2 linked regions of the Macaca mulatta genome follow. The protein of the gene in region 1 purifies or fractionates together with the protein of each later gene. This does not show direct contact. Links are inferred from orthologs where the notes say so. Each region holds a gene or a part of one and is shown on either strand. Other genes may lie near its edges.

Region 1 (4,965 bases):
TATTGAGTGGAAGCAGCCTAATGTGAGTGCTCACTTGGTCTCAATGAACTGAAGAATGCTGCTCCCCTCTAAGGGAGACCCTCTCTTCCTCTGTGCTTGTAACTCAAGTAACCTGGCAGCATCCATTATAAGTTCTTTTCTGATGTTCTAGTTCTTCAAGAATAATGTATCACAGTCATCTATCTACCTAACTTCATCCTTTTAGGTTTATGTTTCTTTGTGACTTTAGACTCACCAAGGCACCCTGTGGTGAAGACAGCAACCACAGCCTATCATTCAGCAACTTAAAAAGACATGCAACACCCCCAACCTCCAAACACCCAAACAGATTCTTATGTCTCCTAAGCCTGCACCCCCAATGCCACCTCACCTGGTGACCCCGGATGGTGCGCAAGGAGAACATGCCAGTCTCCCCCTCGTCTGCAATGGAAATCCCAGGCAGATCCATCTTCAGCTCCACACGTTCCCGCTGCTTTCTCTGCTCACGCAGCAGCTTCTTTTTCTTCCTGAGGGGGTGGATTCAGGGAGTAAAACTGGCCCAGCTCCAAAGAGTTTCTATCCATGCCTTGCATTTTCTTCTCCCATCTTCACAGAGGATCCCTGCATTGGTGGACTCCAAGCTCCACCCCAGCTCCTCTCACCTCTTCAATTCCGCCACCTCCTGGGCCTTCATTTCTGCCAGGGTCTGGTTCAGTTGTTCCTCCTCCTCCTCCTCCTTAGAGGGCTGCTTTGTGATCCCAGCTGTTGAGTCCTCCTCATCACCTTCATCTTCCTCTCCAGAGCTGAGGCTGGCAAAACAGTCCCAGGAGTTGGGTTATTTTCCTGGGCTCTTTCCCTGGACACCCCGTCCACACCTGCCTGGCTGCGTTCCCTCCTCACCTGATGTCCAGTGCCTTTGCTTGTTCTTTCAGCTTCTTGGCCACATATCGCCGAAGTTTTGTTCTCCAGTTTAGTAGCAACCTGCCCCAGAGATACTATTACTGATCTTGCCATCTCCCGCTTTGTCCCTGCCCCCTTGTTTTAGGCTCACTATCCACCTTTTCAGGTTTCAGCTACATAAACCAAAAGGCTCAGGCCCCTACCCCAAACCTTTAGCACAGCAATATCCTCTTCCCAGAGATCTAACATCATGGCCTTTCCCGCCTCCAGGGCTCCTGGCCCCCATGCCCACCCCGCTGCATACCTGAGCTCCTTGCGCCCCAACACTCTGATGTCCTGACAGCACACCCGTATGTCTTCAGTGGTAGCTGGATGCTGTGCCAACTCTTCATCATCTACCATGATCTGTTTGGGAGGAGGGAAAGGTGTCGGGAGATTCTCAGGCCATGTTTCCGGGGCTACCTCATGTCCCTCAAGGCTGGAGACTCACTTCGCTGGCCTTAGACAGGAAGTCGACAGGGTTGGCAGCTCGGAGGAAGTCAGTGACTGAGGTACGGTGATAAAGAGTGAGGTCGCCCTCAGCATAGCCTTCAGCCTTAGGGAGAAAAAGAGAGAAGATTGGGCAGTCCCTTCTGGGTATCTGTAGGACCCACCAGGCCCAACCTCTCCAGAGTTCCAGGACCCAAGGGTGGCCCCATTCCCCAAAACACACCTTTGGCTTCTTCTTAGTCACCAATTCAGTAACAGTCTTAGCCTGAACTTCAACCTCCTTGAAGGCAAATTTGGGGTCGAAGAATTTACTGTCAACCTTGTCAGGGGCCAGGAATCCTAAAAATGACAAGATATATTAAAAAGTGTGCTTTGGGAGTTGGGAGGCTGGATCAAGAGAAAGGAAATGATGCCCACCTTGGCAGACTACAAAGATCTCTGCAGATTCGTGGCGAGAGGCTTGGGGCTTGGTGGCCTGGACATGGCGGAACAGCTGCTGAAAGATCCATAGCAAAGGCTGATAGTCACGAGAACGGAAAACCTTTGTGATGAAGCAGCCACCCCGGGCCAAAAAGTCACAAGCCAAACGCAGAGCCATCAGTGTCAAATGGGCTGTAGGATAGAGACAATTAGTTGAGGCACTGCAGCCCAGGAGGGCATGCACCCAACTCCACCATTGCCTGATCTCCAAACACCACACTCCCTGTACCTTGTGAGTAAGCATCATGGACCCAGCTAGCCCCCACATTGGGGGCCCCATCATTGAGCACAACATCAACCTTCCAGGTCTTCAGCTCCTTCCTCAGGGCCTAAAAAGAAAAGGAACTATGGAAACACAAACACAGGAATGGCCCTGGTTCAACCATTTGTCCATCCCGTTATTTGTTGAGTGCCCATTATGGGCCAAATGCTCTACCAGGCACAGGAGATAACAATAGTAAACAAAAACAGTATGTCTCTACCTTCATGGAGCTTACAGTCTGACAGTGAGTTCACAGGAAAAAACTTCACTAAAGATCTCTGCCCTTCTCCCAATTCCAAACACCTTTATCCCTGACTCTAAATAAAGGTTGGAGTGGGCACTACGAATACCATGGGTCTTGTACAAATGTCAGGCAAGAATGTGCTCAAAGCATGGTAAATAGAAAAAAATTGCCTTTAGAGGATTTCAGGGATGTGGATGTTTCCGTATAAAGGGGGAAGGAAGAGAAAGACTCCTATTACCTGCCTACAACGTTCTGTTGTGATGTCCTCCTGGAGAGTCACCACATTGGGGAGAGGCTTGATTGGAACCAGGTCCACTCCTGGAATAAATCAGGTCAGAGTATTCTAAAGGGTTGCCTCAAGCAGGGAGGAGAGAAATACAGGACAAAGTACTTTATACACCGACCCCTTAAAACATCAAGGAGAGCTGTCCGTTACTCACCCACAATAAGGCTGGATACAGGCATAAACTTGGCAGCTACCTGCAGCCTATAAAAGGAATAGGAATTTAAAAACCTACAGCCATCCTTGTCCCCCTCTTGGCAACTGACCTCTCATCCCTGGTGTTACGTGCACTGGCCAGAACATATCATAGGCACGTATTCCAAGCCCTTTCTCTGCAGTCAAGAAAGGAAACGGCCTCCAAGGGGACCGGGATTCGGGATTCCTCTCCCGCAATGAAACTGGAAACCATCGCAGCTCAGAACACAGAAAGCGGCCACCAGGAGCAACCTGTGGCAAGTGTTACGAACCATCCCCCTGGCGCAGCACACAGGTCCAGCAAGGCTCGGGCTTTCTGCAGGAACTGAAAGCGGCGATTGAGCTGGATCAGCTTGAAAGCAGATCGGGAACGGTAACCTGGACAAAACAACCAAGTGCGCAGAGGGCTTCACCATCACCAGCAGGATTTCTCCAGCCTCGCAACCCACTACCCCTTCTGCAGGAGAGGTACACAATGGTCAGAAAGAGCAGGCGAACCGGGCAGAGATCGCTCGCTCGCTCGCACGCAGACTGAGCGAATCTGGACTCACCCGTCTCCTTCGCCAAGTGATAAAACTTGTCCCGTCGGCTCTTGCCAACTTTGCCCTTCTTGCCCATGGTGGAATGGGGGAATATCGCTCAATCTGGGGAGAAAGTAGAAGTTGAGGACGTCTCTTTCCGGATCACCAGATTCCTCTTTCAGTTTCCCACTTCCCGCAGCAATTCCACTCCGCTCCCCTCTCCGCACACTCTACCTAGACCCACGGCCGCTTTCTCCACACTCGGAACCGCACATGTATGCAGCAAACGTACTTCCGCTTCCGCTTGCGTCCCTGGCTCGAGGTTTTCCGCCATTTTGAGTGTGGCCATAGATTGTTCTCGGTACTCTGTCCTCGGATTTTGTAAGTTGAAAGTTGAGACTAGGAAGGCATATTACAAGAACTACAAACATAGTTTCAATGAGGCAACATTGAGGAGTTCTGCTCCTTCCTCTTCCCCCTCCAAAGCCCCTGAACTCTCGTAGCCGCCCCTCCCATCATGGTCCCCTTAGTTAGTGTGGTCTGGCCGCGCACCCCGCCCATTGACCCGGAACTCTTCTCTGCCTGGTCTCAGGTCACAAGCCTCCGCTTCCGCGCCTGCGCGCAAAGGGGACTCGGATGCCGGCGGTCTCTGCTGAAGAGAGAAGATGGCGCTTGACGGGCCAGAGCAGGTATGGCGGCTGCAGTGGCGGCCCGGCAGGTTACGGGGCTGGGTGCGGAGCGAGCGTAATCTAAGTGGAGAGCGGGCCGGGGCAGGAGGGTTGGGTGGGTCGGAGGTGGCTGGAGTAGTCCAGGCTGGACGCTGCCTGCGACTGGATCTGCTGTGTCAGCGCCGCCCTCGGTGAGTCAGGGCAAGGCTGGGAGAGGAATACGCGGTAGAAGCGGAGTGAGTGAGGGGAGCGATGGGCGCGGGAACGGCCGGCCCACGGGTCGCAGGAGACGGGACGCCAGTCCTTCGGCTCCGTTCCGCTTGCTCCGTCGGCAGTAACGACACCTCGGGCTTGTAGAGCGCTTCACGCAGTGCAAAGCGCCCCCGTGTATATCATATCGCCTCTCGGTCCTCCTAAAAGTCGTACAAGGTAGGCGGCGTTCCCATTTTTTTATTTTAGTCGTGGGAAAATGGAGGGTTCCCAGGGAGGGAGGAATTAGAACCCAGATGCTGAGCCTCCGAAGTCCAAACTTTTTTTACTACGCAAAGCTACCTGGTGTCAAACCTTATTCAAAGTGCCCTGCAAGTGGCTTTATCCCCTCGGATGTTTAACCTGTCGTTTAAGACTCACTCTGTGTCTTCAGATGGAACTGGAGGAGGGGAAGGCAGGCAGCGGACTCCGCCAATATTATCTGTCCAAGATTGAAGAACTCCAGGTGAGGACGGACTTCAGAGAGAGCTAGGAAGCGGGATGATGGGGGATGGAAACGGACTTCCACAAATCCATCTAATTCCACTGGGAGTGCAGTGGAAGAAGCTGCTGCTTCTCCTTTCTTGTTTGTTTCTTAGCTAGTAGGGTGTGTGTATCAGAAGTAAGCAATCTCTTGTTTTCCTCCAGTCCCACCCCTTTGAGGGTCATAGTGTTCACAGTTTGTTAAACATTTT
Region 2 (5,017 bases), on another chromosome or scaffold:
CAATTCTCCTGCCTCAGTCTCCTGAGTAGCTGGGATTACAGGCATGCGCCACCATGGCTGGCTAATTTTGTATTTTTAGAAGAGATGGGGTTTCTCCACGTTGGTGAGGCTGGTCTTGAACTCCTGACCTCAGCCGATCTGCCCACCTCAGCCCCGCAAAGTGCTGGGATTACAGGCGTGAGCCACCGTGCCCAGCCTTTTTTTTTTTTTTTTTTTTTTTCAAGGGACAGGGTCTTGCTCTGTCACTCTGGCTGGAGTGCAATGGTGCAACCACAGGTCATTGTAGCCTCAAACTCCTGAGCTCAGTGATCCTTCCACCTCAGTCTCCTAAGTAGGTGGGACTACAGGAATGCGTTGCCATGCCCAGCTCATTTTTGTTTTTTTTTTTTTTTTTAAGACAGAGTCTTGCTCTGTCACCAGGCTGGAGTGTAGTGGCACAATCTTGGCTCACTGCAACCTCCGCCTCCTGGGTTCAAGTGATCTCCTGCCTCAGTCTCCCAGGTAGCTGGGACTACAGGTATGTGCCACCACACCCACCTAATGTTTGTGTTTTTAGTAGAGACGGGGTTTCACCATACTGGCCAGGATGCTCTTAATCTCTTGACCTTATGATCCACCTGCCTCGGCCTCCCAAAGTACTGGGATTACAGGTGTGAGTCACCATGCCCAGCCTCATTTTAAAAATTTTTTGTAGAGAGGGGCTCTCATCATGTTGCCCAGGCTGGTCTCCAACTCCTGGCCTTAAATGATCCTCCTGTCTCAGCCTCCCAAAGAGATGGGATAATAGGCATGAGCTATGACATCTGAAAGCAATGTTTTTAATGAATCTGAATTCGCTAATGAAGGGGAAAATTTACTTTTTTTATCCCCACAATGACTCCCAAGTCCTACTCGCAAACAAATAAATCGTAGAAAAAAAGTTTAATTGCTGGTTATTGTTTGAATCTTGAAATACAATTCCTCACTGATGACACTGGTATAAAATGGTGGTTATTAATCCATGCTAGCACAACCAAAACTAACGTTAACATTATCGGTAAAAATGAGTCATTTTTGAATCTCGATTAAAATGTGAACACAAAAACAAATCTGTGTTAACACTGGAACTGCCTTCTCACTCTACATATAATTAAACTTCCAGCTTTAACCATTTCATGTTGAAATCTAAAGCATCCCCATGAGTTAAATGTCCCTGACAAACCATGTAGGTGGACAAACAAGATTGGTGGTCTTTAAATGCCAGTGACAGAAAAGGCTGCAGTTTAGTACTTAAACCTGCAGTTAGTGGTCAACTTTCTATCCAAGCAGAGTAAACTAAGGATAGCTATGAAACATCAAAAGAAAATTAGAGGCCAGGACAAAGAGGCAGTGTCAGCCAACCCAATGCAAGCTGGTATGCACCTCTGTATTTCAGACAAGGGCAGGCAATCCAAAATTACAGATTGCTTTTTTTTAACTTGACCAAACAGTGTATTTTTCCTCTGAAAATCTTGTCAAAGGTTGCAATTCATTGCACCTAGTAAAATACAAAGTCCATTCTCATAAAAATATTGTATTTTTCAGAAGAAATATAATACATTGAAAATCACTGATTGCTTTTTCTTCGTCTTTTTTTCCGTGAATGTGTAGGTGTTTGAGTCTCTTGTATTTCTTCTTTTACACAGGATATGGGCTGTTTGAAAACTATTTCATTATCTTTATCATCATCATTCAGTTCAGCCACTTCAGATTTTCTCCTCTCCAAAAATGTTGGTGTACAAACTGGTGTGGGGCCCTGGATTCAACAAGTAAAGATTGTAATACAGAAATGTAGACCAAGATTATGACTTAACCTAAAAATATCACCTCGTCTCTATTTTTACAAGTTGTGCCCCATTATTTTAGGTCTGTTTCCGTCTTTTGGTGATACTATTGCAAAGAATAAAGAACTCAGATGCTTATCAACTTAGTACAGAAATTCACAACAAAAATAGCATGTTCCATTACAAGGTTTTAGGCAGAAAATTGCTAAATCAACAATAAAGATCTACCAAATGTCACAATATTTAATTTGAAATCTTAAAATGAGAGTAGCAGAAACTACTTTTCCTCCTTCAAATTATTTCTATAATATCTGGTGCCCAGAATATTGAAAACCATTTTACCTGGCTATCCACAGTCTTCTCAGGAACGTTGGGAGTACCTAAAACTTTTTTCTTCTTCTTACGTAAAACCTTAAAATAAAATTTTAAAGGTCATCAATTTGAATATGGATCAGCTATGGTAGTCTTCAATGTTTTCCTACTTATCTTTCTCTAATATCTTGCATGTAAAATGATAAAAAACATTTTACCTGGCCTTTCGTGGACGTCTGACGATTAGTTTTTGAAACACCTTCCGTTTTCTGCAAAATCTTTAATAAAGAAGTTATAAATTGACAATCTCGTATCTTTTCTTTCTAAACTTAGCATTAGATCCTCATATATATTATCAGTAAATCCTCCCTAAATGACAGAACATTTCAATTTAAAAATCAAAACTCATAAATATAGTGAATTATCTCAAGTAAAGGGCAAAACTAGGAAATACCCAGTAGAGGAACTGACAGAGCTGCAGAGGTTGAAGGGAAGGCCAACACCTGGAGCTCACTGATTCACAGAATCCTGAATTCAGGAGGGCGGAAGCAAGAAGAACGTGCAAAGCCAGGCCACCCCCATCTCCACTAAGTCACAAACAGGGTACAGGAAAAGCAGTGCTTGCATGCCTCTTACCAAGTTTCACTGTCTCAGTTCCCAAATGGTTCACAAGAGTACCAGGGCCTAAGGCCTTGGCGAAATGTTCTAATACTATTAAAGACAATATTTGGAATTTGGGCAAAAAGTTAACCACCGAGAATTGAGCCAAAGGAGAATAACACAGTCACCTAGTTTCTGGATAAGGTTAAAAACCTAGTAGATTGGCTGGCCCAGTGGCTCACACCTATAATCCCAGCATTTTGGGAGGCTGAGGTGGGTGGATCATGAGGTCAGGAGTTCGAGACCAGCGTGGCTAACATGGTGAAACTCCATCTTTACTAAAAAAATACAAAAAATTAGCTGGGTGTGGTGGTGTGTGCCTATAGTCCCAGCTACTCAGGGGGCTGAGGCAGGAGAATCACTTGAAACCGGGAGGCAGAGGTTGCAGTGAGCCAAGATAGCGCCACTGCACTCCAGCCTGGGCAACAGACGGAGACTGTCTCAAAAAAAAAAAAGAAAAGAATAAGACCCTTACCTATACTAGCCATACCATAATGAGCTTCATTCTCGATCTATAATAAAAGACACAGCTCTCCTTACTGTGACAGATGGACGAAAGGTTCAGTGTTTTGGTATTTACTTATAGCATACAGTAAACCAAAGACTTAATTCTGGCAGTGTCACCTCTGAATGACAATCTTTTTCTTTTTTTAGAGATATGGTCTTGCACTATTGCTGAGGCTGGAGTGCAATGATACAATCACAGCTCACTGCAAACTTTAAATCCTAGGCTCAGGAGATCCTCTTGCCTCAGCCTCCTGAGTAGCAAGGACTACAGGCACACACTACCTCAGTTGGCTAATAAATGGCAATCTAAGAGTATTATAGTTTTCAGTTAAATAGTGGGTTTACTTCAGTAACTTAAAAAACAGATTATGTAAGGTAAACAAATCAGATTATCTCCTTAAAAGAAGCTTCCTCTTCTAGCCAGGCATGGTGGCTCACTCCTATAATCCTAGCACTTTAGGAGGCCAAGGCGGGTGGATCACCCGAGGTCGGGAGCTCGAGACCAGCCTGGCCAACATGGTGAAATCCCGTCTCTACTAAAAATGCAAAAAGTAGCTGGGCGTGGGGGTGGGCGCCTGTAATCCCAGCCACTTGGGAGGCTGAGACAGGTGAATCACTTGAACCTGGGAGGAGTTTGCGGTGAGCCGAGATTGTGCCACTGCACTCCAGCCTGGGCAACAGAGACTCTGTCTCAAACAACAACAAAAAACAACTTTCCTCTTCTGAATAATGGAAATAACAGAATCTGGTCTCACAATGTTTTAGGAAGAACTTACAATGGAATGTTTCAAAAGTTTAGCCAGGCCAGGCATGGTGGCTCACACCTGTAATCCCAGCACTTCTGGAGGCGAGGTGGACGGATCACCTGAGGTCAAGAGTTCGAGATCTGACTGACCAACATGGTGAAATCCCATTTCTACTAAAAATACAAAAAATTAGCCAGGTGTGGTGGTGCGCACCTGTAATCTCAGCTACTCCTGAGGGTGATGCAGGAGAATCGATTGAACCTGGGAGGTGGAGGTTGCAGTGAGCTGAGATTGTGCCACTGTACTCCAGCCTGGGCAATAGAGCAAGACTCTGTCTCAAAAAAAAAAAAAAAGAAAAAAAAGTTTAGTCAAAAAACTGGCTGGGCACAGTGGCTCACGCCTATAATCCCAACCCTTTGGGAGGCTGAGGTGGGTGGATCACCTGAGGTCAGGAGTTCGAGACCAGCCTGACCAACATGGAGAAACCCTGTCTCTACTCAAAATGCAAAAATTAGCCAGGCATGGTGGTGTGCACCTGTAATCCCAGCTACTTGGGAGGCTAGAGGCAGGAGAATTGCTTGAACCCAGGATGTGGAGGTTGCAGTGAGCCAAGATTGTGATAAGCACTAGGCTAGGTCCTTTACAAGGTACAAAGTCGCCCCCTCCCCTCCCCACAACAAACCACAAAAAAGATTTCACGAATATTTACCAAGGAAGGAAAATCATAATCAATTCCTTTTTTGGCTAATTTCTTCCTGAGTAATCTTTCTTTCTTTTTAAATCGCTCCTCCATCCGTAGCTTTTGTGTTAGTGTCCGATTCCGATTATACCGTTTCACTGATGGATGTGATGGCTGCTTAAATGGAATATTCCAGTCTTTAAAGAGTTCTTTATGTACTTTTTCAGGTGGCATAAAATGACCTATTTTTAAAAAGAAAAAAACATAAAAAGTTTCAACAAAATGGTAGGAAAGAGATTTTAATGCTAACT

Evidence for each region. The genes of interacting proteins can lie anywhere in the genome.
Region 2: the proteins of FTSJ3 (region 1) and NIFK fractionate together in Homo sapiens (co-fractionation; 3 studies listed by BioGRID, with this or other methods). This does not show direct contact. The link is inferred for Macaca mulatta from reciprocal best matches to the Homo sapiens genes FTSJ3 and NIFK.

Annotation. Positions count from the first base shown.
Region 1 is NC_133421.1:73,620,012-73,624,976, forward strand, and holds the start of FTSJ3 (pre-rRNA 2'-O-ribose RNA methyltransferase FTSJ3), read right to left. Parts: upstream 3,635-4,965; 5' UTR 3,451-3,634; coding exon of another isoform or gene 3,384-3,450; intron 3,211-3,383; coding exon of another isoform or gene 3,105-3,210; 5' UTR 3,075-3,104; intron 2,842-3,074; coding exon of another isoform or gene 2,795-2,841; intron 2,698-2,794; 5' UTR 2,673-2,697; coding exon of another isoform or gene 2,593-2,672; intron 2,178-2,592; coding exon of another isoform or gene 2,078-2,177; intron 1,981-2,077; coding exon of another isoform or gene 1,967-1,980; coding exon 1,786-1,966; intron 1,708-1,785; coding exon 1,592-1,707; intron 1,475-1,591; coding exon 1,370-1,474; intron 1,285-1,369; coding exon 1,184-1,284; intron 961-1,183; coding exon 880-960; intron 789-879; coding exon 642-788; intron 507-641; coding exon 371-506; intron 1-370. Other genes in the region: PSMC5 (26S proteasome regulatory subunit 8), read left to right, coding at 3,990-4,042, 4,646-4,736.
Region 2 is NC_133417.1:15,734,664-15,739,680, reverse strand, and holds the end of NIFK (MKI67 FHA domain-interacting nucleolar phosphoprotein), read right to left. Parts: intron 4,949-5,017; coding exon 4,737-4,948; intron 2,393-4,736; coding exon 2,333-2,392; intron 2,214-2,332; coding exon 2,145-2,213; intron 1,775-2,144; coding exon 1,586-1,774; 3' UTR 907-1,585; downstream 1-906.